Struthio camelus: one gene and its partners. The protein of the gene in region 1 purifies or fractionates together with the protein of each later gene. This does not show direct contact. Links are inferred from orthologs where the notes say so. Each region holds a gene or a part of one and is shown on either strand. Other genes may lie near its edges.

What was found. Proteins that work in one complex are often made in the same cells at the same time.
Region 2: the proteins of BICRA (region 1) and SMARCB1 purify together in Homo sapiens (affinity purification with mass spectrometry; 3 studies listed by BioGRID, with this or other methods). This does not show direct contact. The link is inferred for Struthio camelus from reciprocal best matches to the Homo sapiens genes BICRA and SMARCB1.
Region 3: the proteins of BICRA (region 1) and SMARCA4 purify together in Homo sapiens (affinity purification with mass spectrometry; 4 studies listed by BioGRID and IntAct, with this or other methods). This does not show direct contact. The link is inferred for Struthio camelus from reciprocal best matches to the Homo sapiens genes BICRA and SMARCA4.

What each region holds. Positions count from the first base shown.
Region 1 is NC_090957.1:851,397-859,045, reverse strand, and holds the start of BICRA (BRD4-interacting chromatin-remodeling complex-associated protein), read left to right. Parts: upstream 1-4,634; 5' UTR 4,635-4,695; coding exon 4,696-4,875; intron 4,876-7,649. UniProt on the Homo sapiens protein: Component of SWI/SNF chromatin remodeling subcomplex GBAF that carries out key enzymatic activities, changing chromatin structure by altering DNA-histone contacts within a nucleosome in an ATP-dependent manner.
Region 2 is NC_090958.1:9,548,330-9,556,142, reverse strand, and holds the start of SMARCB1 (SWI/SNF-related matrix-associated actin-dependent regulator of chromatin subfamily B member 1), read left to right. Parts: upstream 1-4,809; 5' UTR 4,810-4,965; coding exon 4,966-5,058; intron 5,059-7,682; coding exon 7,683-7,794; intron 7,795-7,813. Other genes in the region: MMP11 (stromelysin-3), read left to right, coding at 2,213-2,470, 3,394-3,527.
Region 3 is NC_090972.1:4,652,425-4,659,612, reverse strand, and holds the start of SMARCA4 (transcription activator BRG1), read left to right. Parts: upstream 1-4,184; 5' UTR 4,185-4,352; intron 4,353-7,188. UniProt on the Homo sapiens protein: ATPase involved in transcriptional activation and repression of select genes by chromatin remodeling (alteration of DNA-nucleosome topology).

The DNA of each region.
Region 1 (7,649 bases):
TAATAGAAATAATGCTCTAACTTTACCAGTGAAAAAGCTCTGTTATCAGTATCACAGGCTTGGTCTGGCTGACAAAGCAGTCATCTAGAGCCTCCTGAATCATAGTAAAGTAATTCAGAAGTGGAAGAAAAATCAACTGAAAGTAAGTAGACTACACTGTTTTAAACTGGAATGGTACTGCAGCAACTACTGCTACTGCAGTCTAGTGGTTAAAGCAGGAATGGGCTACAGTGATATTAACAAACCTTTAAGGGTTCAGTCCTTGGTATTATTGCATTAAAAATAGTATGTAATTGTATTAGTCATCAGCAGTATATTTTAAGCAAGCTTAAATACCGGTGCTTGGTTTTTTGTTTTTTTTTTTATTACTCTGCTTTGTGTTTGGTTTGACAAACTTATCTTGAGAGTGAATTTTCAGGTCCGTATCAGTATAGAAAGAGCAATTAACTAGTACACTGCATGACGTGACTAAGATTTGAATCTATTTCTTACAATAGGCCAAGTTTTTACTTGGAATAGATTGGTGCATTTGCTGTATTCGTGGCCCTGTTACGTTTCACTCTACTAAAGGATCTGGCCTAATGTTAAGAAAGTAACAAGAGGCCGTCATCCTAGGGAGGGCTTCGTGGCCTGAAGAGTGCTGAACTGCACAATTCGGGAGGCTGAGGAGGGTTTGCTGCTTTGCCACAGTGCATCATTTGAGCTCCCCATGATAAAAGTTCCCTGTGGCTTCCTCTCGTACTTAACTGTATTGGCCGTGCTGTAAAAGTTTTTTGAGATCAGCTGACAAAAAGTGATGTCTAAGGGCAGCGTATTTGTATGTGAATAATTCTGTGGAAGTTAAAGGGTTTATCTAACTTGCCTCATTTTCTTTACTTTTGAACAGTGAAATTTAAAGACTAAATTTTCGTGCTGTATGTGAGGTACACCAAACTGAAGTCATCAAAGTCGCATCCATTTACTATAGCAGTGAATTTGACCCTTGCTTATTCAGAATAGCAGGATATAACTGTGGGGAAGCAATCTGTTACTCTAGTAAAGGTTGCCTAAAGTGTATAGGAAAGAAAAAAAATGGTTGTAGAATTAGCATAATAAGATTTAAAGATCTCTTACAATATTATTAACACTTCCCACTTGGAAATAAACCGTGTGCTTTAAGAGATCTGTTGATAGCAACATAGTTCAAACTAGCCTCTCTCTTTGAACAATCTTGTCCCATGGGTTACTCTAATTATCACTTACTGTGGCTTTCTGCCAAGATTTTTTTAGACATGGCAGACTCCACTGTATTTTTCCAGCGCTCTGGAATGGTATGGCGCAGCTAAAAGACAGAAAATATTCAAGTGTAAATGTGCCTTGTGTTACTTTAACATGTTTATAAGCGATATTCTTTATGGCGATTGGAATGTGATTATAGAGGGAGAGGTTTTTCATCTCCTTTTCCACACCTACTCCAATTATTTCGAGTTCCGAACTACTTTAGGAACCATTGCGTTGCCCTCTGTACTTCGTTAATGGCTCCTGATTAGGTTAGCTTTCAGCAGTTATCTGACAGGCTCATAGCAAGGCCACTTACAACCAGGAAATAATAATGATGATGCTGCCACTGAAGTGGCGGCGGCTGCCGCCGCTTCAAACTGCGGTCTCCTTCCTCTGTTAAACTGTCACTGCGCTCGGTTAGCACTGCACTTTTATAGTGTAATGCACCAAAATAAACCCCTCCATAGTCCCACCCAGGTATAAACAGAATGTATATCTAATTCAAATTCAACCAATCAAAGGGTATAAACAAAGTAGAAAGCCCTGCCTCTAGATTATTAATTACTCACACTGGTCAATCACATTTAACCTGTCTAATCAGGATGCAGGGTAATGCATCTGGCCCTTCCCATTTCTCTCTGAGCTGCTCCACTTTTGGCCAATCGGGAGCGGTGTCTCTTCCTCCGGCAGAACCAGTTTATAATTGGTATGTTGAGGACCCTTGGTTGAGCTGTGCTTTGTGCTGCCTGAGCACAGAGCCAGTTTAAGATTGTGCCTGAAAATGCACCAGCACTGAGCGTAGTCAGCACGTAAAATTAGTAATACTAATAAAAAAGATTGCTTGAGCATGAGCTTTCAGCATAGCTAGCTTCCCTGCCACCCAAGACAGTCTTAGGTTTTCTTGGCTGCTATGTCTTCACGATCAGTTATAAAAGTATGCTATTTTAAGTGCATAATATGTTGACATGACTTGCATTTTTATTTTTTTCGAACAATAATTGAGCCAAATTTGGCAAGTGTTTTTTTTGCCCGTGTTTAATGTTAGTAGAAAACAGTTTTAAAATGTTCCTCTTCAGCAGTAAATACTGAAGTTTTTTGTTTAAATATAACTTTCTCCTTTGTAAATAAATATTTAATTATATATATTAAATATTGTCTTTTGTAGCTTTAAAAAAAAAAGAAGAATGTTTTCAAGACCAAACCCAAAGTGGTATACCTGGAAGAAACTGCAGGCCTATAACAAATAATAAGGCATATACGTATCGCAAGTAAAATTCACTACTTCATTCCTGTTTTAATTCCAGCTCTTTCCTCAGCCAAGATTTAGGATGGTAAAAATTAGCTGGAGGAATTTATTTTATGGAAGTATGATTTATGCCTACTTAAAAATATAGAAAAGAAAATTTAAGGGAGAAAAAAATCATTATTTAAAGATGTAAATCACCTTAGTTACAGTTACGTTGTGTTTCTTCAGAGAAGTCAGCCATTTTGCTATGTCAATATTATTTCTTTTGATTAGTAGTAATACTGTTGTGTGCTTGTATGTGTTGTCTGTCCAGATGACACAGTAATGAGTGTGTATTAAAAATAATTGAGAACACTTTATTGGCTTATTTATCTGTGTCACTTGATTGTTCCCGCTATAAAAAATGAGGCGATTATAACTTAGAAAAAAAGGTCTCCTCAGAAATGTCTGTGGATCTTAGTCGTTACAGTTTTTGAAGTTGTATTCTCCTCCTTCCTCTGGATGTATTTTTTTCCTATATCAATCTCTGTGTCTTTTAGGAGGAAGAGATTTTTGCAAAATGTGCATACTGCAGATGTACCTTTAAAAATACTTAGATGTTTTAAACTAAAAAAAGTAATGTGCTGGTCCTGGCATTTCTGAAGTCTTGATGCTTAGGATTTGAGGTCCTAATCTTTTGATGCTCTCAAGGAGCTACTCAAACAGCAAGAAAAGAATAATTATTATCAAGTTTTAACACCTTCTCCCCCACCCACCCCTTCCTCAACAGGGCCTAAAACTGCTGCTAACGTACTGAGAGGAAAAACTCAATGGTCTTGAAAGGGTTGGTCTTAGAAGGTGCATTTATTCTTACCAAATAATAAGGGAGTGGGGGAAGGAATACTTATTTGAGGCCCATTTCTGAGGAGCTGGTAACCTTCATCCCTCATTGGAGATGGAACTGCCGGGTCCTTCCTACAGAGACAAAGGTTTTGAAATGTTTGTAGTTGATAACATTTTGAGAATGTGTGTTGAAATCCTGCTAGCCATTGTCAAGCTTTCCTGCACCCCATCAGACGGGTTTGCTGTGATGGTGGTTAGAGGATGCAGGACGCTGCCAGGGACCCACGGCCAGGGCCTGGTGCAGGCCATCTGCCCCTCGGTGGAACAAGCGTGATGAGAATGCGGTATTGAAAATGTTTGTAGTGCAGTGTCTGTCAGTCCTGGGCTGATTTGTGTTGCTAACGTATTTGAAGCGCTCTATAGTGCTGGCTGCATGCAGGACCTGAGAGGCTGCTAGTTTTAACATTTTCTCCATTTAATGAATGATACAGAAGCAGTTTTCTCTTTCAGTAAGCTCTTAAGTGGGCCAACAAGTTATAAAACGTTTTGAGTGCCAATTACACATGTTTATATTTTGGGAACTCGGTAGGTTTTAGTGTCCTCTGCAGTGTAGAGAATGATTTGTCTTGTCTTTCCTGAGCCATTTCCTGCTAATGTGGGATCTTGGGAACTGGAAGTAGGTTTGGTTTTTTGTTTTTTTTTTTTTCTCCTGCCTGTGACACATAATTCAGTCTGTGCAAGACTAGTGTACTTAGTGTACTTTTAAGCCTTCTGCATTTCCAGGTATAAACATACCTGGATGCAACTTAGTGGCCTGTGCTCCTTAGGAGACTGGAGGAGTACTGGGCCTTAAATGAAGTATAAGTTAAATGCATTTTTAAATTGTTCTAGTTTTGTTGCCTTAAGCTGCAACAATGTAGCCTAGTGAAGGTTCTGCTGCCTTTTTTATTTTTTTTAATTCGGGGTTACTGAATTTGGGGACTTTTTTTTATTTTTCCCCCTCTTTAATCCCACCCGGAAAAGAAAGGCGCACGTCACTGCTCCTAGTCGCGACACGGTGCCTGACGCCGGCTCGTGCGAGGGAGCCGGGTGGCCGGCGGGGCGGCCGGGGCGCGGGGCGGCGCGGCCGGGCCGGGCCCCTGCGCAGCCGCCCGCGGCCCCTCGGCGCTGCTGGCCGCCGCCGCCGCTCGCTCGGCTGCGGGGCTGTTTTGAAAGCGAGGGGTGGGGCGTCGCGCATGCAAATGCTGCCAAAGGGGTGGGAGCAAACGGGGGCGGGGGGGGGAGATTTTTTTTATATGTACGTAGAGGTGTGAGTAAAGTGGGTTTTTTTTCTTTCTTTTTTTTTTTTAAATTTTTTTGGGTAATAAATGCAGTTGCAGCCGAGCTCCCCGCTTGGCGGCCGGCGGCCGGCTCCTCGGCGGCGCCGCGGCGATGCAATCAGGCAGTGCGCTGAACCTCTATGTGTCTGTGCCTGCTGGGGTCCTGCCTCCGGAGCCCGTGCGGGGATGTCTCGGAGACCCCGCGCTGACTGCTGCTCAAACATCACGGTGAGTTTGTTACAATGTAGCAATTTCTCTTTAAATCTCTTAACTCTCTCTACCTGCAACTCAGGGCTGTGACAGGGCGAAAAAAACTGGGGGGGAGGGGGGGGAAGGGAACCCTGCCCCCCCCTCCCAGGGTAGCATCCCTGCTCCCTTTCCATTGCTCCCCCAATCCAGTTCCCCCCCAAACAGCCTCCCGTTGCTGCGTCTGCAGGTCACGTCTACAGGATACAATGTAGCTTTATAAAATGATACATAACCTCCTGCGGCTCCGTGCGCGGGCGGCGCGGGGGGGAAAGAGGGGCGCCGGGAGCCCCATTCCCAGCTCCCCGCAGCCTTCTGGATCACCCTTCTCGTCCCCACCTCCTCCCGAGCGAAGGGGGTGGGGGCTGTGGAAAGGAAAGGGAAGGGGGGAAAAAAAAAAAAAGCTGTTAGTTTGCAGTGTTGGATGGTTATGACTTGGTATTGCTATCTCGGTTGAGGTTATGAAGCTATCGTCTGACTGTTCTCTTCCCCCCTCCCCCTTGTCCACTCCTTCGCCCAAGTAAAAGACAGGGATGCCCTCGGATGGATCTTGCGCTCGATTTGAAAATAGACGTTTTAGTGTAGAAGCAGAGCAGAAGGTTTTCAGTGTCAGGATTAAGAGCCTTGATCTTCGTGGTCACTGCTCTGCAAGGCATTGCAAACGGTGCACAGGGGTTTGACATAGTAGTGTAAAAGCAAGTCTGAAGCTCCATTGAGTAAAGAAGACCTGCCAGCGATGCCCTATCCTCCCCTAACTCCCCTCTTAGGACATTTCAAACTTGTATTCTGGCCTTGTTCTACAAACCAGAGTTTGTCTACTCAGCACTGATTTATTAAGGAAAAAATACTGTACAATGTGATGTTTTGCAGATAAAAGTAACTAAATGAATTTTGATATCAAATGGGTACCTTATTATTTCTTATAGTTCTGAAGTTTTTTCCTCAGTGCATTAAAAATACATTAGCTGAATAAACTACGGTTCATTGCTCTTCAAATTCTCTTGTAGTTTTCATTTGTATACCGCTTAGAGCTTAAAGTTTAAGTAGTGAAAATATTTTCGTAGTGTTTTGGTTTTTCCTTTTTTGCGTGAATGATTCTGGACTTGTGGTTATGTTTTTGTTTTTGGGTTTTTCAGTTTCTTTGGATATTCAATTATAGCACACCGGCTTGTATTTCATAATCTTTCTTCTTTTCACCCTTTTGTTCACTGTAGCTTTGTATATTCTGCTTGTTGTCAAATCTGATAAATCTCTGTTGGCATTTAATACAGTATCTGGATGCCTGTACGTGCTGTTTACCATTATAACTTTTTTGTTTCACTGAAGAGTGGTAGCTGAACTTGTGGAGTATATATTTGATCCACAGTAAAACTGAGTTTTTTTCCAAAGCAGTTCAAATATACTGGAACTGAATGTCTTCTATTGACTCTTCCCATGTGATTGATACAAATGGCTTTGGTCAAAGTCATGTACTACTTGTACTACTCTCAGATGGTCTTTCTATCAGTATCAGTGGTACTTATCAAAACTGCCTGTTTAGTGTCAAGTATACGAGGAAAGGTTTCTGGCTATCTTTTGATGAAGTGTGGCGATGCACTGATTCAGTTCTGTGGGGTCAGAATGGGTATTTAAAATAAGATGTCATTTTTGTGCTGTTTTCCCATCTATTGATGTCTGTATTGAAATTTTCTATTTACATTTCAAAACTAAAAATATTTTAATTGTGTTCAGTTTTTTGATTATTAGACTAGTTGTGCTGATATTTGATTCTTCTAGAATTAGAAAAACAGAGTAATAGGGATAGCTTTATTCTGTTTGTTATTTAGCATAATTTGTTCCTAACATCAGAATAATAGACAGGTGGGTGATTCCTTTTAAAATGCCTGGGTTACCAAGTAGTTCATAGTAACAAATTTATGTATTTTTGCAGATTACATCATTTAGTATCAAAATTCTACGGTAGCCTCTACCTTCTGTTCTAGGAGGTCTTGCTGAAACAGATCATTCAATTATAACTAAGACTAACGCAACTTTCTGAATTGATCACATACAGCAGCTTTGAATTGCTGTCTTTCTCTCCTTGGGTTCCTCCCCCTTTCCCTTTTTAAAGAAGTGGGGGGGGGGGGGTTTGAAAGGAGTGTTCTGGTTCCAAAAAAGAAGAGAGGACTTGATCATTCTTGGCTGCTATTTTCAGGGCTGTAGTTTAGGCACATGTGGCATTTGCATGAATGCTCCTTAGCAGCAATTGAGTTCCAGTCTTTTGCCAAATATTATTTTGCTGCTTTGCCATTTGGTGCCGATCCACTACTTTGTGCCAAGTGGGAGCTGAAAGTTCACTATTTTCTTTTTGTTTTGTTTTGTTCCAGAAGTAAATGTATTTCTTATAGTAGACAGGAATGGTTGGACAAATCAAACTTAATTGGAAACACTAAAGCATGATATTTTTGTTATTTTATTTGGATCAGAATTATCGTAGCATCCCCTGTCTTAAAGTCAAACATATTCTTTATTTCAGAGCATTAATATGTGAAATTTTAAATGATACGCTTGTTTGAGCTCTTCTCCTTTTCACCTCCCCATCCCCCACACATACACACCTTGTGAAATATCCCCTGAGTAAGAGTATGGAGGCGAAAAGTAAAGAAATTCTGCAGTAGATTTTCTTTACAGGGTTAGAAGGAAAAATTCAGCACATAGAGAACACTACTTGTACAAATTCACGTTTTTTCTTCTGAAATAGTGGTTCAGATATTAGG
Region 2 (7,813 bases), on another chromosome or scaffold:
ACATTTTAGCAGATATTGAGCGGGGGAGATAGAAGGAGGGGTCACTTATTTTAGACACAGCCAGGATATTCTCCTCCTTTGGAAAAAGAACAGTTGTTTTCTTTGAGCCTCTACCCTGGCAATGCTGCTGGCAGCAGAGGATGAAGGAAATGCTTGCTTTCCCTTGTGGATGGAAACAGGAGGAAGAAAAAGGCAGGTTCATTGCCATCCTCAGTCACCAAGAATTAGTGATAGGCTCAGGTATTGCAGAAAAGAGTGCTGGAAATCCACCTTCTTCCCAGAGTTGGTAGACTGTTAGTGCTTTTCCATCAGCGTGGGTCTCGACCTCTCTTCTGCATGGTGCATCCACCACATTACTCCTGATTCTTGCCCATCCTAGTGACACGGGTCAGACCTGAGCCTAGTCAGCTCCTCTTATAGCCCAGATTCCCCCCATATGGCAGGGTCCTGTTCCAGTTCAGGGCTGGTACAGAGCAGAGGCAGACCCTGACCTGTATGACTGCTACAGTAGACTGGATTGCCATGGGGGCAGCCCACCTGGTCTCTGGCCATCCTGCAACAGCACCTCCATCCATCCAACATACAGTGCAAAATGCACTCTGATGCAGTATGGACTGGATTTTCATGATCCTGTTGGTTCAGGTGTGGGAATAGAAAGTCTTTCCTGCAACAGAGTCCTCTGCAAGGAGCAGACGAGCATCAGCCATTGTACCTCCAGCAGCCCCAGGTTGAAGGGAGACAGGAACCAACATCACTACTAGACACTCTACAAGCTCCAGGAATCTTCTCAGCTGCCCTGGGAAGTACTGTGCAAGAAAGAGGCCCCAAACATAGTTTTACAGGTTGCCACAGCTCCTGAGCTTGGTGCCCAGAGGCCTTGCTCAGGAGAGGGACACCATCTTTCCTACTCCTCAGGGGCCTGGATGGAAAGTGCATGTCATCCCAAGGCTGAATTAGCCTACAGAGAGCCTGCGTGCAGAGCTAGGCCATCTCCAGCCACTGCAGGGGTTAAAAACCAATCGCTCATGAAACAGCCAAACTTCCTCCTAGCCATTTCTGAAGCCCAAGACCAGCAACAATCCCTGTTTCAGCTTCACTGTTTTCTTTAATGCTCTTTCCCAGTGCAAATTTAACAGAGAGGATGCAGGATTACATAGCTACCTGGCTGCCCTGTGTGTGCATGCCCCATCTGTGCACTGTGAGATCAAGTACTGGAAAACGCACCAAGCAGCTCTGCAGGCAGCGTTATTGCATAAGCAGATTACCTAGCACCTGACCTGCAGACAAGGGTTTACAGTGCTAAAATTGGCAGGCTCCTACCACGAGTTAAAATGAGATAAAGAAAAAGTATTACATGCTGCAGGGTAATTATAGAGATTCCCATTTTAACCTGAACTGGAAATATTATCAGTTTGGCAACCTCTTGCTGGTTTATGTAGCTCGCTCCTTCAGAGCCACATGCCCCCCTTATGCCTGTGCATGCTCACATATGTTCTCCTCTAAGAGCAGGGCTTGGAGGGTAAGTACAGGTCCCTCCCACTCTACCCTGTGCACAGATTTGGCATACAAGCAATATGCCCCCTGTCCAGTCAGAGGATGACCCATTTTTCTTCTTTCCTCCCACCCAACAGCACCAGGCTTCACAGCATAGGTGTCAAAGGAATCAACGTTCACCCTGTCAATCTCTACAGCTTTGTAAATTGTTTTATCCAACAATGGGTTTTGATCCTCCTTCGGCATAACCAGAGCAAACTCAAAGCTCAGGGCTTTGATCCACTGCCCAAACGCCTACTTGAAAACTACAACCAGACCCAGCTGACTGGAGCAGCTTGAGAGAAATACGCCCTTCCACATGCGTGCAGGGCTCTCCACAGTGATAAGCCTATGAGAAAACAGGCTGGGCAGCTGGATAGCTCAAATACAAAGCCAAATCGTTTATTACAACTTCCATAAATAGAAAAAAAAGACAGCTGTGAAAGCAGTCTTCCTCATCCTACCCTCTGGGCTGGAGAGAGGTGGGAATTCAGCTCCTTGCGCTCCTAGGCTTCAGGTGCCTGTCAGTGACAGTGTTTGTGACAGTGATGGGATTTCTCCTCTCTCCTTTGCCTGGGAGCTCTGCCAAGGCACCGCTCCCAGTTGCACAGCTCACTGCTGAGTTATCAGATACTAAAGAGTTTCTGAGCTTTGTCTCCCTTTTCTGCCTTCTCGCCAGACTCTCGGTACTGGATTTATGAAGGTGAAAGACGGGTTTCTGGCCCTACCCCTATTGCGGAGCTGGGCCTCCCTGCTTCCCCTGTCCAGGCAGCTTTGGTGTGGGGGGCTGAGAAGAACAAGATCTACATCTTCAGCGGAGGCAACTACTGGCGCTTCAACCCTCATACCCGTCAAGTGGACAACATCTACCCTCGGACCATGGCTGACTGGCGTGGCGTCCCTCAGGAGACTGATGCTGCTTTCCAAGATGAGTTTGGTCAGTGCCAGAAGGGACAAGGCCTGCTCTGGGGTGGTCTTTCAGGCTGACCTCGCTTCCCAGCTGGAAGAACTGGGCAGATTTAGATGCTTAATAATAATGGACATTTTCCAGCCATTGCACATGATATACAGTGTATGGAGAGCAAGGCAGCTCCCTCCAGTGGGGAGGGAACTGAGGCTTCTCTCACTGAAGTAGCAAGCCTTGTAATTATTAATTGCAAAAATTAGTTAACAGCTATGCATCTGATAGAGAGAATTCAAACTTCTCACAAAGAAATATTCATGGAGTCTTGCCCAGCTGCTACCACTTCCCACAGAGGAAGAGATGAGATGTCACCAGAACCGCTGCCCACATTTCAGCCTAGGTAGCTGTCCTGAATGAGCAGGCTGCTTCCAGTATTAGCTAGTCCTCCCAGAGGTGTCCCATGCAGTGCCACAGATACACTGGGTGCTTGGGATGACGGCTGTGCAACTCCCTCTCTCCCAAAGGATGTGGTGGAATAACTCACTGGTGCTTCCAGTAATGACCTAAAATCCCAGAGAAATTTCCCTACGGTAACAGATACTCTTTAGCAGGTCTTCACAAACTCCCTTCCATCGGTCCTGTTCAGATCCTAAACTCCCTCTGCCCTTCCAGGGCTAGGCTACTACACTGGCACAGCATATTTAAAATCACCCAATATGTAAAATAAAATCCATCCTGTTTGCTCTTCCATCAAAACTAAAGCCATGTGAAAGAACAGTGCAAGTCACAAATCTGGAAAAGGCTGAAGATGCAGCTAGATTCATTTCACTTGAATCCAGGCTCTCTTTTAGTACTCCACATCCCATGTGCTGTGGTGCATCAGCAAAACAAAATGCTAGGAAAGAGCTGAGCTGTGTGGGCCTTGTCTTTCCTAACCCTTTATCTCCCATCTACAGGTTTTGCCTATTTCCTGAGAGGCCAAGATTACTGGAAATTTGACCCAGTCCAGGTGAAAGTGCTGGAGGGTTACCCACGCCAGATCAGCCAGGACTTCTTCAGCTGCACACCTTCCTCCAACTCCTTCCGATGAAGAGGGGGATGCTCACGTCCTCCACATTTCCCTCTCATCTCCTTTATCTCCAGCAGCCACACAGACACAGGGTTCTCGCTGCCACTCCTGGCTTCCTTTAAGGCTCAGCATCTGATACAACTGATGCCTGTCACAAGTGACAAAGGTTGCTCCTCTCCAGTTCCAGCAGCCTCCAAAATAAAGTGTCTGGCACATTCTCTACAAACAGAGCAGCCACTAAACTGCTAAAGTGGCCAAGCTCTTCCAACAATGGCATCCCAAAAGCCTTTGAGCAAGCCTGAAATGGGATCAGGCTTTCCTAATTAACCTGGACCCTATCATGTTAAACTGATCTGGTGGTATTTCCTATGTTTACATTGCTCACAGTAGCATCCCATTTGCTGTTCCAGACATTGGCCTCAGAGGAAGGATTCCACTGAGATGCCTTCCTCACCCTTAGCCAGGGAGTTTTACGGACACTGACTGCCTATGGAGAAATTCAGACGTGTAGCCATGTTGCCAGGGTCACTTCACCACAGCTGCAATGGTGAATACCAATACCCTGTCACAGCTCTACTCTTGGTTTTATGTTGTATCACTAGTATGCGTTAGAATTTTATACTGTTTTGTAAATAGACAATGTGCCTCCTTCCTTCCAAGACGCTAGGTTTCAGTGCTGGTCACTGCCCTATTGCTCCGTATGTTCTTTTTAAGTTAGGTTCCTGGTATTAGGTTGCTCATTACCGCACTGATGGGTCTCGTCCCACTCACTATTTCCAGCAGACAGGTCCATCCGGACACCATTCCGACAATGCACAAGCCTCAGTTCAGCTCTTTGCACATGCTACACAGCAGTATGGGGAGGAAAGAAAAAAAAAAAAAAAAGGGAAAGGGTCTCTTCCTTTCAAACTCGCGACCCACTCACGCGCCTCACCGCCCCCTCCTCCCTGGGGGACGAAAGGAAGACAGCCGTTCAGCTCCGCGCCGCCCGGGGGCCGAGGACGGCGCGGGGAAGCCCCCGGCCCGGCCGCTCCGCGCTTGCACGACGCGCACGACCCCCGCGATATATACTGTGTATATATTTGTGTACTGTGCTGTACCAATAAACCGGCCTCCTGCCCAAGCGCCGCCTGCCTCGCCCTGCCTCGCCACCGGCTCCCGCGGCGGAGCGTTACCTCAACGCGCGACCGTTAACGGCTGCCGCCGCCGCCCCACCCCCTCCTCAGGGACCGCCCTCCCCTCGCGGTGAGGCGGCAACGGCCGCGCGCGGCCTCTTTCGCCGCGCGCGGCGCCTTTAAGGCCCGGCCGGCGGGGGCGGGGCGCCCCGGCGCATGCGCGAGGCGGCGCTCGGACTAGGCCGCGGCGCTGCTCGTCGTTGCCGCCGCCGCTGCCGCCGGCTCTCGCGCTCGCCCCGCTCAGGACCGCGGCGCTGCCGCCGCCGCCCCGCGCCGCCGCCACGATGATGATGATGGCGCTGAGCAAGACCTTCGGGCAGAAGCCCGTCAAGTTCCAGCTGGAGGAGGACGGCGAGTTCTACATGATCGGCTCCGAGGTGCGGCGGGACGCGCGGCCCCGCGCACAATGGCCCGGGCGGGGCAGGGCGGGACTCGGCCCTGGGGGGGGCGGGGGGATGTCAGGGGAGGTATAGGGGTGGGTTGGGGGGATGGTCGGGGGGTGGGGGGCGCCGGGCTCGGTGGAGGCCCGGGGGGCCCAGGGGGAAGTTATGGAGGTGGCCGGACTCGGGGGGGGGGTTGTGGGGAGCTGGGGGGGGCTGAGCTCGGAGGGGCCGCTCTGGGGAGCTATAGGGGTCCGGAGCTCGGGGGGGGGGTTGGGTTTGGAGAGGGAGGTGGGCTGTAGGAATCTATAGGGGGTCCCCGGCTGGGGGGAGTGGGGAGCCGTGGGGGAGTCCTGAGCTCAGGGGGAGTCATGGGGGGGCTGGGCTGTGGAGAGTCTGTAGAGAGCTATGGGGGGCTGGGCTGGGGGGAGCTATGGGGGATGGGCTGGGGGGGGTCTAGGCTCAGGGCTGGGGGGAGCTATGGGGGATGGGCTGGGGGGGTCTAGGCTCAGGGCTGGGGGGAGCTATGGGGGATGGGCTGAGGGGCTGCGGGGAGCTATGGAGGGTGGGCTCAGGGGTCTGGGCTCAGGGCTGGGGGGAGCTATGGAGGGTGGGCTCAGGGGTCTGGGCTCAGGGCTGGGGGGAGCTATGGAGGGTGGGCTCAGGGGTCTGGGCTCAGGGCTGGGGGGAGCTATGGAGGGTGGGCTCAGGGGTCTGGGCTGGGGGGCTGCGAGGAGCTATGGAGGGTGGGCTCAGGGGGTCTGGGCTCAGGGCTGGGGGGAGCTATGGAGGGTGGGCTCAGGGGTCTGGGCTGGGGGGCTGTGAGGAGCTATGGAGGGTGGGCTCAGGGGTCTGGGCTCAGGGCTGGGGGGAGCTATGGGGTCTGGGCTGGGGGGCACTATGGAGGGTGGGCTCAGGGGGCTGGGCTGGGGGGAGGGAGCATGGCAGGGCTGGGCTCAGAGTAGGGCAGGGGCTATGGGGTGCCTGCTCGCACCTGGGGGGAAGTGACATGAGGGCTCCCGGAGGGGGAAGTCTGTGCCATGGGAGCTCGTGGTGAGGCTCGCGCAGGAGAGGCCTAGGAGTCTCCCCTTGCACCCCGGGAGGGGATCCTGCCCAGCGTGGTGCTGCCAGCCCTGCAGGTCCTCTCCGCTGCGCGCGCTGGCGGCTGTTGCGCGGGCAGCAGTTTGGGCTCTCAGCGGTCGAGCTGGGGCATCTCACCTTTGCTGGGGTCAGCGCTCCCAGCAAGGGCGGCTCTCACAAGTCACACGTGTCTGTGTACATCACGGAGTATAGAGGCTGGTTCCTCTGTGGGTCACAGCCTTGGGCCCCAGTATTATGTCCTGCTCCCCTCTGCTTGAGAGTTGCTGAGCTTTATGGCCTGATGCTCTAACTTGTGACATTTTTGTAGCGTGCTTGTTCGAACATTTGGGATTATTTCAGATGCTCTGAGGTGATTTAAGTCAACATCTAGGCCTTTATGCTTAGTAATAACAACAGCATCAGCCAGTGCAGCCTCTTCAGCCTTGTGTAGAATTTCAGCACCCCAGTGTATTTGCAGAAATGGTATTCTCTCGTGGTGAGAGGCTGCTTCTTGAAGGCTGGACTTAGTGAAGCAAGAAGCAGAGAAATGATTACAGTTGGAAAAGAACAGGAAAAGATGTAGGACAAGAAATCTTGGATAACTTAAATTGTCAACTGTACATGTTGAGCAGGGACTCAAGATCACTCACTCTCTTGAGAGCGTGTGAAATGTTTCCTAGAAGAACTGTAACTGCAGTCAGCAAATCTGCGAGTTTGCAATACCAGATGTGTGCAAGGGGAAAAGAGAGTTGCCTTTTTATGTACAAGCTAATTTCTGTCTGTTGATGAGTCCTGTAGAGAAACAGATAAGATTAACAATTATCTGAAATTAGATCTTAGGACCAAAACGAGTCTTGAAAAACAAACCTTGTTGTGTGGCAGTCCGCAAGTATATTGCCAGTCTAAAATTTTAGTTTTGTAGTCTAGAAATAGTACTTTAGCAGATCTTGGTGTAGCTTTCAGTGTGGGTGTGAATCTTGCACCGAGGGAAAATGGAACTGCTTTACAGATGCCAAGTAAATTTGAGAGAGGATTGTTGTTAGTGTTCATGTTCTATATGTTCAAAGAATTTTAAATAAAACACAAGGCAAGTCTCTGGGCTTTGCTATATCCAAGTGATATCTGGATGGCACAGAGGTTCAAAGTAAAAATAATATTGTTGGACAGCTAGGTATCTGGTTTGATGTAATTTCTAATGAGCATTGTTCATTGGAACAGCAACTGGAGTAGAGGAAACATTAGACTGTTCAAAAATACATGAAAATGAATGGGTTTTCCTATTAAATGGATTATTGTCGATGGATGAGAGTTTTTTCTTATCAGACTAGTGAAATAAATGCTGATAAAAGCTTTTTCTGTATTGCTGCAAAAATTGGGCTATATGCTATATGATGAGCCTTTTGGCAAAAAACCAAAACAAATACATCTTCTCTAGAGGTCCCAGTTGTCATTACCAAGTCCTGAATTTGCTTCGGGTTCTGCTAAATATCTTTCTAGACGGAACGTATTTCCAGGCCGTGTCTCCCCATTCCTCCTTGTAGGTGGGGAACTATCTGCGTATGTTCCGAGGTTCCCTGTACAAGAGATATCCCTCACTGTGGAGGCGACTAGCCACAGTGGAAGAGAGGAAGAAGATAGTGGCATCTTCACACGGTAAGAAGATGAGTAAACA
Region 3 (7,188 bases), on another chromosome or scaffold:
TTTTTTCCCCCTTTGTTTTACGCTTTCCCTCGCCGGAACGACGGCAAAACCGGCTGGGAAATCCTCACGGAAAATACCGAGCGTTGGCAGCTTTTTCCCGTCGTGCAAGCGCAGTGGGTTTTGAGTCTCCCCGCTTCTGCGCGGCGCCGTTCTTAGCCGCGAGCTTGTTTCCCCGCGGGGCGATCGTCCGCTTGGCGGGGTTTCGCTTCGAAATCCCTCCCTCCTCAGGGAGCCGGGCTGTCGCCCCCGATCCCGTAGCGGTCGGCCGGCCGCCAGGGCCGGGGAGGAGGAGGAAAAGGAAGAAAACCGACGGGCGCTGAAGGGGTCGGGCTGGCGGCGGCGCCGCATCGGTCCTGCGCCGACGGCAGCTCTGTGGCTTCAGGAGGGCAGGGAAAAACGCACATCTCCCACGTCGCCGTCAGCGGCTCCGCTTCGTTTATGCTCCTTTTAATTAAGAGTAGGATTTGAGACCTCCCCCCCCCCCGTTTTGTTTTTTTTTAACATCTCGAGCAAGGGCTTCAGCCCTCTCGGTGAAGGAAGGAGAGCGATTTTTGCTGCGAGACAGCAGAAATCAGCGGTCGCCCTTGCTGCAGCGAAAGCTAATTTTGGGGGGCGAAGCGAAGGGATCGCAAGGCGTTTGGCTCGCTCGGGAGTTTGCGGCCCGGAGGGGGCGTTCCGTGGCGATTTGTGCAGGTAAAACGTGGAAGTTCGGAGCTAGCTCCAAAACACGAGCCCCCTTTTTGGGAAGGGCCCTGTCCTGGCCCGTTGTACCTCCCTCGTCCGCTCGGTTTCATCGCCAGGTCGCAGTTTCTGTCCTTTCTCTCCGGCGTTTTTCCGTGCTGCCGAAGCAGGTGGTGTTCCCCCCCCCAAGGCCGCCTGCGGTGGTCCCGCGTGTCCTTTGCGGCGGCTCTACTTAATTAGCGTACGTTTAGCGAGCGCTTGGAGAGCCTGGAAGAGAAGGCAGAGCTTTACTTAGCAGCGGCCACCACCGTTGTCTTTGGGCTGTGGGCACGGCCAAGCCAGGCCAGATCCGGGCCCGACAGCAGGGCTCCTGCTGTTCCACCTCAACCCGCAGGAGACCTCAACCCGCAGGAGACCTCATCCTGCAGCACGTCCTGCTCCCCACGTCTCCCACTGTCCAACGCCACCTTCTCCCCGTGTCTCCCGCTCTCCAACCCTTCTCCCCGCGTCTCCCGCTCTCCAACCCACCTTCTCCCCGCATCTCCCGCTCTCCAACCCACCTTCTCCCCGCGTCTCCCACTGTCCAACGCCACCTTCTCCCCGTGTCTCCCGCTCTCCAACCCTTCTCCCCGCGTCTCCCGCTCTCCAACCCACCTTCTCCCCATGTCTCCTGCTCTCCAACCCTTCTCCCCGTGTCTCCCGCTCTCCAACGCCACCTTCTCCCCGCATCTCCCGCTCTCCAACGCCACCTTCTCCCCGCGTCTCCCGCTCTCCAACGCCACCTTCTCCCCGTGTCTCCCCCGCTCTCCAACCCTTCTCCTTGCGTCTCCCGCTCTCCAACGCCACCTTCTCCCCACGTCTCCCCCGCTCTCCAACCCACCTTCTCCCTGTGTCTCCCGCTCTCCAACGCCACCTTCTCCCCACGTCTCCCCCGCTCTCCACCCCACCTTCTCCCCGCGTCTCCCGCTCTCCAACCCACCTTCTCCCCACGTCTCCCGCTCTCCAACCCACCTTCTCCCCACGTCTCCCCCGCTCTCCAACCCCACCTTCTCCCCACGTCTCCCCCGCTCCAACCCCACCTTCTCCCCGCTCTCCCACCCCACCTTCTCCCCGCGTCTCCCCTGCTCCAAACCCATCTCTCCCCCCATGTCCCCTGCTCCCAGCCCCTTCCCCTCACAGACCCCCGGCCTGTGCCCCCTCACGAACCCCCTTCCTTCTTGGAACCCCTTTCCCTGGGCCTTGCCCCCTCGTGGACCCCCTCCCCTCGTGGATCCCTTCTCCTCACAGTCCCCTCCCCTCGTGGACCCCTTCTTTCATGGATCCCCTTCCCTCGTGGACCCTCTTCCCCAGGCCTTGCCCCCCCGTAGACCCCTTCCCTTCATGGACCCCCTTCCCTTCATGGACCCCCTCCCCTCGTGGACCTCTTCCCCAGGCCTTGCCCCCTCGTAGACCCCTTACCTCATGGACCCCCTCCCTCAGAGACCCTTTTCTTCATGGACCCCCTCCCTCATGGCCTTCCTTCGTGGACCCTCTTCCCTCATGGACCCTCTCCCCTCGTTGACCCTCTTCCCCAGGCCTTGCCCCCTCCTGGACCTCTTTCCTCATGGACCCCTTCTCTCATGGACCCCCTCCCTCAAAGACCCCTTTCCTTCATGGACCCCTCCCCTCGTGGACCCCTCCCCTCATGGACCCCCTCCCCTCGTGGACCCCTTTCTTCATGGACCCCCTCCCTCAGAGACCCCTCCCCTCTCATGGACCCCTCCCCTCATGGACCCCTCCCCTCATGGACCCCCTCCCCTCGTGGACCCCTCCCCTCGTGGACCCCCTCCCCTCGTGGACCCCTCCCCTCATGGACCCCCTCCCCTCGTGGACCCCTTTCTTCATGGACCCCCTCCCTCAGAGACCCCTCCCCTCTCATGGACCCCTCCCCTCATGGACCCCCTCCCCTCATGGACCTCTTCCCTCATGGACCCCTCCCCTCGTGGACCCCTTTCTTCATGGACCCCCTCCCTCAGAGACCCCTCCCCTCTCATGGACCCCCTCCCCTCATGGACCTCTTCCCTCATGGACCCCTTCCCTTGTGGACGCTCTTCCCCGGGCCTTGCCCCCTCCTGGACCCCTTCCTTCATGGACCCCTCCCCGACCCCCTCCCCTCCTGGACCCCCTCTCTCAGAGACCCCTCCCCTCTCATGGACCCCTTTCTTCATGGACCCCCTCCCCTCATGGACCCCTTTCCTTCATGGACCCCTCCCCTTGTGGACCCCCTCCCTCAGAGACCCCTCCCCTCTCATGGACCCCTTCCTTCATGGACCCCTCCCCTTGTGGACCCCTCCCCTCATGGACCCCCTCCCCTCATGGACCCCTTTCTTCATGAACCCCCTCCCCTCGTGGACCCCCTCCCTCAGAGACCCCTCCCCTCTCATGGACCCCTTCCTTCATGGACCCCTCCCCTTGTGGACCCCTCCCCTCATGGACCCCCTCCCCTCATGGACCCCTTTCTTCATGAACCCCCTCCCCTCGTGGACCCCCTCCCTCAGAGACCCCTCCCCTCTCATGGACCCCTTCCTTCATGGACCCCTCCCCTTGTGGACCCCTCCCCTCATGGACCCCCTCCCCTCATGGACCCCTTTCTTCATGAACCCCCTCCCCTCGTGGACCCCCTCCCTCAGAGACCCCTCCCCTCTCATGGACCCCTTCCTTCATGGACCCCCTCCCCTCATGGACCCCCTCCCCTCATGGACCTCTTCCCTCATGGACCCCTTCCCTTGTGGACGCTCTTCCCCGGGCCTTGCCCCCTCCTGGACCCCTTCCTTCATGGACCCCTCCCCTCGTGGACCCCTTCCTTCATGGACCCCCCCGACCTCCCCCCTCGTGGACCCCCTCTCTCCCTCCCCCCGACCCCTCCCCTTCGCCGCAGTGGCGCGGCCAGTGCGCATGCGCGGAGGGAGGGGGGGAGCCGCCGTCAGCGCCGAGCGGGCGGCACGCGGCACGCGCCTCGCTCGCCCCGCCCCCCGCCTCTCCTCCCGCCACCCCATTGGCTGCGGCGGGGATGGAGCCAGCGCCGGGGCAGGTTGCGCAGCGCCGATTGGCTGCAGCGCGCGCGCGCGCGCGCGGGCGGGCGGGCGGGCGCGCGAGATAGGAAAGCGGGGAGGGGGGGGGCCTGTGGGGTCTCTCCCATTGGCTGCCTCGCCGAGCGGTAGTGGGCGGGCCTTCCCCCCCTCCTCCCAGCCGGCTGGTCCCCGCCTCATTGGCCGAAGAGCGTGCCTGCCGCCCCTTCTCACCAATAGGAGGCGCGCTGCTGAGGAGCGGGTTCTCCGCGCTGCCATTGGCTGTCGCGGGGAGGGGGGCGGGCGCACGCCGGCTCTCCGCTGCCCTCATTGGCTGCGCTGGCGGAGGGGGCGGGTGAAGTGCGCAGGGGGCGGTGCGCACGGAGGCGGGGAAGGGGAGGGAGAGAAGCCGAGCCGGCGCGCATGCGCGCTGCCTGCCTGCCTGCCTGGGGGGGCGGGGTGGGGGCGCGCGCGGGCGGCGGGGGAGGCGCGCGCGCGCGGCTCGCGCTCCCTCACACACGGCGGCGGCAGCGGCGGCGGTGGCGGCTCCTTTGTTCCCGCCGCGCCGCGCCGCGGGCTCGGCCGCCCCGCCGGGTATGGACCCTGCCGGCGGCGACCAGCGCGGTAAGGGCCGGCGGGGGCCTGTCACGGCGCCCGGGCCGGTCCCTCACTGAAAGGGACCGGCGGGGTTGGGGGGGGGGGGAGGGAAGACGCTGTGGGAGGTGGGGGGGGCGCGCTACGGCGGCCCCGGAGGGTCACGCGAGCTCGGCGTCGCGCTCCCGCCCATTGTTCGGGGCTGGGGGCGGGGGGGGGGGGAGGCGGTGTGGGAGCGGTCTCTCCCTTCCCCCCCCCCCAACCCGCCTCAACGAGCGCTCACCGGTTCCCCCCCCCTCCCAAACATCATCATCATCATCATCATCCCTCCTTCCGTGGGGCCTTTGCATTCCCGGCGCCCTTTCCACCTGGCATCGCTGCTCCCCCTCTCCCCCCCCCCCGGTTCATCTCCCCCCCTCCCCCAACCTTCATCGTCCTACCTGCATCCCTTCCTTTCATCGACCCCCCCCTTCCATCAACTCCCCCCCCCCGCACCCCCGACCCCTTCCATCAACCCCCCCCCCGCACCCCCGACCCCTTCCATCAACCCCCCCCCCGCACCCCCGACCCCTTCCATCAACCCCCCCCCCCGGCACCCCCGACCCCTTCCATCGACCCCCCCCCGCACCCCCGACCCCTTCCATCGACCCCCCCCCGGCACCCCGACCCCTTCCATCGACCCCCCTCCCCAGCAACCCCGACCCCTTCCATCGACCCCCCTCCCCAGCACCCCCCACCCCTTCCATCGACCCCCCTCCCTGGCATCTCCTACCCCTTACTGACCCCCCCCTTTTCATTACCCCCCCCGCGTCCCCCCCTTTTCATTACCCCCCCCGCGTCCCCCCCTTTTCATTACCCCCCCGCGTCCCCCCCTTTTCATTACCTGCCCGCGTCCCCCCCTTTTCATTACCTGCCCGCGTCCCCCCCTTTTCATTGTCCCCCTGCATCCCCCCTGCATCCCCCGCTTTGATTGTCCCCCCCGCATCCCCCCTTTCATTGTCCCCTCCCTTCAGCACCCCTCTGCCTCCCCTCCTTTCATCACCCCCCCGCATCCCCTTCTTTCAGCACCCCCCCAGGCCCCCAGCCCCCCCATCCTCCCCCTCTGCAGCCTGCTTCAGCATCCTTCCACTGTAGCCTTTCCCCCAGCGCCCCCCTCCTTTCAGCCCCCCCAGTGCCCCTCCTTCCAGGCATCCCCCCCCCCAGTTCCCCTTCGGGCTCCCCCCTCTTGCAGCCCTCCCTCCGCTCTCCCCTTCTCAGCCTCCTTCCTGCAGGCCCCCCCCCCCCAGCTCTTGCAGCCCTCTTCCCCCCCACCCCCAGCGTGGGGGGGGCTCTGCCCCCCAGCTCCCCACCCCGCCTCCCCCCTGCCCCTCGCTCAGCGGCAGCCTGTGCTGCTGGCAGGTTGGGTGATGGGGGTCAGGGACGCCGCAGTGCCCCCCCCTCAGCCCCCCGTCAGCATCTCCCTTCAGCAGGGTCGGTTGCACCCCCTCCGCCCCATCCGTTTCCCCGCAACCTGCCGAGCATTCGCTGTCCCCCAGCGCTGTCTCCCGGGGGGGGATCCGTGTCGCCCCCTCCTTTACGCCCCCCTTTGGCATCCCTTCTCCCCCGCTTTGTGGGGTGCTGCCCGTCCTCTGGAGCACCCGTCTTCCCCGGGGCATTTCCCCTCCCGTCGGCAGGGCCCCCGTCCTGCGTCCCTGAGCGTCCCTGTCCCCCCTCCCCGGAGCGTCTCCCCTTTATTGCTCCTCCTCTCCCCGTCGCTCTGCTGTTTGTCCTTCTGGAGGACGCCGTTTCTCCACCCTGTGAGATCCCCCTCGTCCCACCTTACTGCCCTTCTCCTGCCCTCCAGCTTCTCACGCCGGGCCAGCACCCCTCACTCTTTATACCCTACTGCCCCTTCCCGGCTTCTGTCTCTTCCGTTGTGGCTTCTTCCTCCCGTAGCTGCGTTTTTGTGGCGCCGTCTGGGTTTCAGCACCAGCTTCCCTGGTCTCCAAGGGATCTGCTCCTCGTTCTGCACCTCCTTCCTGAAATACTGATAGCAGCGTCCCCCCCCACCCCGTCCGCGAGCAGTGGCCCTCTGCCGTCGCTCTCATCCTGTCCTCAGGTCGCCTGCTGCCCCCTCCCTGCTCTCCACCCCTAAAAATTAATCTGCCTTTTGCCCCCTTCCTGGGGGGGCTGCGATGCAGAGGGGTTATTGCATCCCTCGGGCTGACGGCATCCGGGCTGCATCCTCTGGCGCCCGAGCTGGTGGCCGAATCTGTGTATTCGCGCTGCCTAGGACAAAGCCAGGGGATGAAATCTGTCTGCCCTGGCTTCGCAAGAAGCTGCCCCGGCCTCCCGTCTTTGTGGCAGCGCGCCCTGTCCGTACGCGAAGGTTGGTCTCCTGCGCCGGCCAGAGGGGGATCGAGCCTTCCCTGCTGGCCGCCCCCGGCACAAAGCCCGTCCTGGCGTGAGCCGCGGCGAAAGAGAGCCGCCCCAGGGTGCTACGGAGGGTTTTTCGCGGCGCTCGGGTGCAGCCGCCCCCTCCTTGCTGCCCAAAAGCCCCTGCAGGAGCCTCCTCCCCCCACCCTCAGCCACCCCGCCGGAGGCACTCAAAGCACGTTGAAGCCCGGAGTGTCTTAATGCGGTTGCGGCCCCGTCGAAAAGGCGGGGGACGCGCGCTCGTGTCCCCCCAAGCGGAGGGGCTCGACTCCCCTCTCTCCTCCGCTGTGTTGTGCGTGGCGGCGGCGGTGGGGGGGGGGTTCGTGTCCCCGCTGCCGGCTGCGCGGCCTTTGGCGGCGACGTCTTTTGTTATGAGCCGGTGTCTTTCTCCCGGGCTGTAGCGCTGGTCTGTAACGACTGTTCCCCCACCGCGTCTCGGCGACAGAGGCGC